Linked DNA regions of Nothobranchius furzeri. The protein of the gene in region 2 purifies or fractionates together with the protein of the main gene of each other region. This does not show direct contact. Links are inferred from orthologs where the notes say so. Each region holds a gene or a part of one and is shown on either strand. Other genes may lie near its edges.

Region 1 (3,756 bases), on a different chromosome or scaffold from region 2:
ACTATCATCTCACACTAAACACTAACAGGAACAATACTCTGCCCTGAAAATGCTTAATATGTAGCTTCAGATTAAAAATGATGTGGTACAAGACAAATATATATGATGTTGACTAGTGCGTGTCACTTGTGTGTGTGTGTGTGCGTGTGTGTGTGTGTGTGTGTGTGTGTGTGTGTGTGTGTGTGTGTGTGTGTGTGTGTGTGTGTGTGTGCGCGCGCGCGCGTGTGTTCGCGCGCGTGTGTGCGTGTGTTAAGCCCCGGATGTTCTTCAGTTCTTAATCCGCCCCTGCTGGACTGATTCTGCCATCACTCGTGGCATTTTCACATCTGGCCCAGCCCGGTTGGGTCCTGGCTGGGTTGGCCCATCCCACCATGGCCAGGTTTTGTTTGCACAGCCTTCTCAGGAACGTAGACGTCTCCGAGCATGTAGGCGGGGCAAAAGATGCATGGAGAAGTCCACGGTGTCCTTTTTTCAATTAGTAAACAAAGGTGGCTGAGAGTTGCGTTGCTTTGAGAGACTCTGACATGAAGCACACAGCTTCCTACTGTCTCACTGAGACCGCCACGCGCTCCTCACAGCTGTCTGGCTTTGTGCTCCCACGGCAGGTGTGAGCTGCAGTCGGAGGAGATGTTTACTCCACTGCATCCAGAATGATTATGAATCATGTATGCAGGAAGCCAGCACTGGCTGATTCTGCTTGCCAATCAAAGGCTTTCTCTGTAGGCAGACATGAACTTTGGCCACCCAGTCGGTCCGAAGTGGATGTGTTGTCAGTGCCAAGCTGTCCGCTGGAGATGAGATCTGGAAAAAATGGTCGGCTGAGCACAGAAAACACACAGATTACCCCGATGTGAACACAATTACCCTGCCAGGGATGGACCGGGCCGACCCAGATGTGAATACACCGTTTAGGACATAGAAGTAGGGAGGCAGCAGAGGAAGGCAAGGCTTTACAACAATGTTCCCCCCTGAAGATCCGCCCCCGTTGACTACTATTGATGTAGGGTGCTACAGCCGAGCCCATAACCCAAACCTGTTCTAAATATAAACATGGAAGCGTGTCCTTCTAAACGTCTGCTTAACCCTCTCAGGCTCAAAGTAAGTTATGATAAAAGGACGAACAACTAAGTCCTTCAGGGGTGCTCCTGAGTTAAAACATGCTCATGAAACACGTATGTGGAGAAACCAGGTCGGTAGGTTTTAACGTTGCTAATCTGCAACGCCTGCCTCCGGAGGGTTAAAGCTCTGTAGTGAGAGGAGCAGGAGCGTGCTGACCCATCCGGCTGTTCCGCTGGTTGATTTTCTCCACGACAGCATGCTGGAAGGCGTCTGCCTCCTGTTGGTCCGTGAAGTTCAGGCCCACCTGGCAGTCCTGTTAACTCACCCAAACACACACTCACAATTTCATACTGACACAGTTATTGCCTTGTGTGATTAGTGCGCGCTTACATCTGCAGGAAAGGTGTGAAAGTATTGCAGAGGCGTGAAGTAAGCCATCTGGTCGTACAGCTCCTGCTCCCAAACCCGTTTCCCTGCCTGTGGAAAAAAGTGCCTGGTCAGCGCGTCTGCCCCTCACTAACTCCCGTCACATCTGAGTCACAGCTTCTCCAACGGAGACGTCAGTCACAAAACCTAGAGAGGATGAGCTCATAGATTCTTTATTTGACCTTCAAATCGAACATCCGGATGAAGTAGGAGCGCTGAGGGTTGTCTTTGACGAAGCAGACCACTCCGGTGTGCTGCAGGCTCCATGTGGACGGGCTGTGTGGCAGAGCCATGAACAGCTGTGCTACAGCGGTGGCTGTGGACTAAACACACACACGCACACACACACACGCACACGCACGCACACACACACACACACACCCAGTTGACATGTAAATTTGCTCGTTGCTGGTGGATAACTTCCTCCTCTGCTCTCATTTTTGTGATAAGAGCTCAAAAGGCTCTCTGTCTTCTCCGGATTACACCTGACACACGTCTGATGTCTCACGGCTCTGCCAGCTTACTCCTACGGACGAATGAAGTCAAAAACTAAACTTCTGCTCTGCTGTCAGACCAAACCAGCCATGGCGTCTACATCTGACAGGAGAGGAAGAATCCAGCCAGCCAGCATTTCCTGTTACAGCTGCCTCCGTCATGGTGACCCAACAGCAAATAACTTAACATCACTCACAGCTGCTTACAGAAAGGATCTTTCAGTTCCCAACTCAAAAGGATGATGTTTTAGGAGACAGGCCTCAGCTAACGCCTGCCTCTTCAGCATGTGACGTTTTAGCGGCTCAAAGAGGAGGAAATCTAACATATAGGCAGGCAATCGGAATGCGTTAGTTTTGTTTAGCAGCAGAAGTGATGAATAATAAATTGAACGGTGGGTTATTTCCTCCCGGTTCAGAACTTACAGCACACCTTCTGCCCAGCAGCTCCTCCAACATGTCATTCTCCTGTTGGCTCAGCAAAGAGCTTCGATCGCTCTCTGTTTTACTCTTAGCTCCACGACTCATGACGCCTCTCACAAACCAACATGTAACGGCATCAAAAGTCTAAAACGAAGAGGACAGCGGTCGGAATATTCTCTACGATCCAGGAAGTTTCTCTTCTCTGTTCTGAGCGAGCATCAGCTCGAAGCAGGAAGCAGACAGCCACACTTCTCTAACCCCCACTTGTCTTCTCTCACTCTGACGTGAACGTGTCACTTCCATGTTCAGACAGAGGCAGGGCACTGCTGCTTCCCTCCAGCTCAGAGTTTACATGCATAAATAATCAGCATCAGATGTACAGGAAGTACAAAGAAGAGACTTTTTTTTATTGACAAACAACATTTAAATACATTTTTAAAACGCGCAGGCTCTGGAACAAAGGTGTTTGGTCCAGTCGTACAATAAAAACAATTAAAAGCAACTGAATTGTAAATGCAGGAAATGATGAAACAGTCTGGGTGTTGAATTTAACTGATCGAACAGCTGAATGTGACAGGAAAACAATGCATTCTCTCTCTTAACGTAACAGTTAAATACTCTTTGGTTTGTGGGTTGGAGACGAACAGAAAACAGTTTTTCACTTGTGTGAACCACCTTTCAGAGTCACACAACTATCAGTAACCCTCTGACTGACCGTCGACAACAGCAGCATAATCTCCTACATATTGCACCGGGTTGCATCGGTACCTAAATCATGACCTTGTACAGAGCCGCCTGTCAGTCGTCAGGAGACATAAAAACACATTAAATGAGTTTCATCACACAGAAAGTTGTCTTTAGGTGAAATAAAGTTCCTCCGTGGCGATGCCGACCATCAGCTCCTCGTTGTTACCCGAGCAACATCTTACCAGAATCTTGTACATAAAAAACTAACAGAATGAACAACCTATAATGAATGTTTGTTTAGTAAAAGTTAATGAACAAAAACTTATATGACGTATTATGGAAGTAAATGATAGTGGCTCCGTTTTTCCACCCGGCTCCTGAAACCGGACTTCTGCTTTGGTTCTCGTTTGTCCTCCTGCTTCACGGCCCCACCAGCATCCTTGCTCTGAGCGGTGCATTCAGTCAACGCACAGCACCCATCAGGAAAGCTCTTCCTTTGGGCGAGGCTCTTCACTGTTGTCCTTCGTCGTAAATCACCAAACCCCGGATGAGAACTCGGCTGACCGGTGGGGTTTGTTTGCAGGGTGAGTTTTGGTTGACGTGCTGTTTGGAGTTCCTCTGGTCAGTCTTGGCTTGTAGCTGCTAGCTAGTGTCCACCGCCGCTCCGAGA
Region 2 (3,186 bases):
CCAGGACTCTAGAAGGCACTTTATCAAATACAGGCCATTTTAAATCTTCATATATAAACCCTCTGGTCTCTGTTAAGGTAGCGCGACTCGGGTTGCGAATGACCACAGTCACCAATTCTTGTCATGTGTCATGCCTATGTATGTATGTGTGTCTGATCTCAGAATTGTGTGTACTGAAACACTAATTTCCCTCTGGGATTAATAAAGTATCTTTGAATTGAATTATCAGGTCAGATTATTTAAATGTCAAAAAAAAAAAGTCCATGCAATGTTTGTGAGCTGGAACTCGCTCTAAACCCATATGTATATTTGATTTCTTGGCAACCTTTGTGAACGTTTGACAGGAAATGACCAGTGTGGTTATAGTGTAGCACCCAATGCCATTCGCCCCCCTGCAGGGTAACCAGACACCAAATTCAACCATGCATCAGCTGCATGACCTAAGAATAAGGTCTGATGCATTCTTCTTATATTCCACTTTCTAAATATCTTTTGCTGCAGCAGACCAGTCATAATAATAAATAATCAAACTTTTCTTTTGCATACTAATAAGAATTTTTCATTCTGTACAAAGTTGTAAAACCACTTCATAAGCATTTCAGAAAACAAACAGTAGCACAACTTATCTGCAAATTATGTTGAGTTTTTTAATACAAACCATAAAATATACAAAATAAAGCTTAAATACATTTTAGTGCAATAATCGTGTTCAGGAGGTTAATAAATCTTCTAGAAGTTTGAGGAATGTTGATAAATGGAATATTGCCATATCCTCATCACAGGGGCTTCAGTTTATAAATGATTCCTAAATTGAGGTGACAAGATTTATATAACTTAAATGTGTGGAAATGGGAGTTATCCTTGCAAGAAGGCTAACTTATTCTTGGACGAGATAAGAACCAGGAACCAATCCAGAAATGCCGTTTCGTTCTACCATCCACCAGCCATCCTCGCCCTTTTCCTTAACAACCACAACATCACCAACACATATAGAGAGCTCATCTTCTCCCTAACCGGGGACACAAAACAGCCATGTCAATGACGTTTCTTACCAAACATGAAGCATGTTAGGTCTGAAAAGATCTAATCTGTGTGAAGAATCATACCTGAGCTATGTAGTCGTACAGGGCTTTGTACTCATCACTGCTGGCCTGGGTCACCTGTAGTCCAGGAATGGATGCGTAAACGCCTTCTGAGGTTTGTGCTGAGGACACAATTCGATATAGAACAATAGATCACACATCAGTCTTTTTGTGAAACAAGCATTTTTAGGCCCGAGCAGCGAAAGCGCTGCGAAGGTCTGTATTGTATCTGCTCTGTTTATTTTTCTTCCGCCAAGTAAACTGGCTTTGTGGAGGCCGTAACATAAGCGAAAACTCAGGAATTTTTGCACACCTGTCAGGCATGGTGTAAAATTTTGTATTTTAAAGGTCCCCCAAAAAATCGCAATAAAACTAGCTCCACAGCGCCCCCTAGAATGTGAAAAATACCCCCCTCCATAAAGCTTAGTTTATCGTACAGTTATGAAATTTTGTACATTTGTAGTACTCAGCAGTCCGCACAGAAAAGCCTCTTGCAACCATGGTCAACATCAAACAGGAAGTCGGCCATTTTGGTTTGAAGTGGTGATTTTGACCCCGTTTTGGCAGTTTCTAGAGTCCGCTTCTGATTGATTTACTTGATCATTTTTCGCACGATCGTCTCAAAAGTTGTGGGAAATTGCTCAGAAGGGATGGGCGATCAAATAGAAAAAATAAAACTGACTTTTCGTATATGCTGAGGGGTGTGGCCAGGCCTCGAATTTCGACTACTCGCCAAAAAAATATAAATGGCTATAACTTCATACTCGAATAGAGTAGAGTTACAAAAATTTCTGTGGTCTGCACTATATTTGAATTTAAATCTGCCATCGCTATCGGCTAAGAGGTACCCTATGATGTTAGCTGGTACCATATGATGTCATAATGCTGGTTTGAGCCTCTGTGTGTGTGTGTACATTTGTTAGCAGCACCTCCCTCTCGGTCTGCCAGGCAACTCCTCCATGTGGCACATTTTTCAAACAGGAAATGGGAGTGGAGTTAGACTCTGGTAGGGAGTGACTTGCTCTTTAATATCACTTGGCATCTAACTGACCTGGAACTTCTAATCATAAAGCCAATGTGTGTGTGTATGTAAGAGGAGGAAAAGTGCTATCCTGACAATATTTAAACACTAAAGAGTAAAAAAAAAAAGCAACAAATAGTCCAAGAAAACTTTGAAAGACACTAAAAGTTTAGAAACGATTGATTCAAGACTACTAACAAAAGATTCCAACAAAGTACTGTCTGGGACATTTGACTAGTACTTTGTCTACTCGCTAAATACTTTTTGACTAACACCATTTATAATGGTTTTCTGTTCAGGAGTTGTAAGCTAATCACAAAATATGTGAATGCAAATTTAAATCGTATTGAATATAAAAGTCTGTTAGCTCAGATTTGCATATTTATTATGAACTTCATCTTTTGGTTCTGTAACGTGATGTTGCTACACCTTTTTTTTGTCAGAGATTACAATCTTGTAGGTGTCTGGGTCCAAATCTGCAGTGTAACTTGAATAAATTTGGTACCTAACCTGCAGGTTGTGCAACAGGCTCATTGATGTTGAGTTTGGAGCCAAAGGTATTACTTCCTGTCAGGAGACTTGAAAACCTAATGGTTAAAACACATGATCAATGAGTGAAAAATGTAAAAACAAAAATCAAGTAAATTTTCTATAATGTTTGTGAACCTTTTCTTGACTCCTTCTATAAATCCAGCGCTGCCGTTTGAGTCTGCTGCATCGTTATCATAGTAATTCTGGTATTCAATTGGAGCTGTGAGGGGATAAAAAAAAAGTTATGCCTCCACAGCTGCGTGATAACAATTAAATTATCTCTCGACATGGAACATATTCAAATCACCAGAGGAAAGTTGCAGGTGATGCATACCTGGGGGGGTTGAACTAGTCTTCCTGCCCTCCACAAAGTGGTTGTTGTCTGTGATGATGTCACAGCTTTCAAGCGTTGTCCTCACGCTCTCGTAACACTGAGGGACCAGTTTGACCAGAGGAAATATGGCTGCTGATGACTGTTTCATTACATCTGTAGGAAAATGAGGCACGCCTACCTCGTCGTCTTTCACACACTGCATGGATAAGTGGTTGCAG

The links. Proteins that work in one complex are often made in the same cells at the same time.
Region 1: the proteins of pstpip1a (region 2) and wasb purify together in Homo sapiens (affinity purification with western blotting; 3 studies listed by BioGRID and IntAct, with this or other methods). This does not show direct contact. The link is inferred for Nothobranchius furzeri from reciprocal best matches to the Homo sapiens genes PSTPIP1 and WAS.

The regions. Positions count from the first base shown.
Region 1 is NC_091755.1:42,288,465-42,292,220, forward strand, and holds the start of wasb (WASP actin nucleation promoting factor b), read right to left. Parts: upstream 2,641-3,756; 5' UTR 2,505-2,640; coding exon 2,403-2,504; intron 1,809-2,402; coding exon 1,668-1,808; intron 1,537-1,667; coding exon 1,450-1,536; intron 1,373-1,449; coding exon 1,276-1,372; intron 1-1,275. Other genes in the region: sodium-coupled neutral amino acid transporter 3, read right to left, coding at 3,733-3,756. UniProt on the Homo sapiens protein: Effector protein for Rho-type GTPases that regulates actin filament reorganization via its interaction with the Arp2/3 complex. Important for efficient actin polymerization. Possible regulator of lymphocyte and platelet function.
Region 2 is NC_091744.1:68,460,854-68,464,039, reverse strand, and holds the end of pstpip1a (proline-serine-threonine phosphatase-interacting protein 1a), read right to left. Parts: coding exon 3,147-3,186; intron 3,066-3,146; coding exon 2,969-3,065; intron 2,855-2,968; coding exon 2,770-2,854; intron 2,691-2,769; coding exon 2,614-2,690; intron 1,205-2,613; coding exon 1,107-1,204; intron 1,010-1,106; coding exon 878-1,009; 3' UTR 628-877; downstream 1-627. UniProt on the Homo sapiens protein: Involved in regulation of the actin cytoskeleton. May regulate WAS actin-bundling activity. Bridges the interaction between ABL1 and PTPN18 leading to ABL1 dephosphorylation.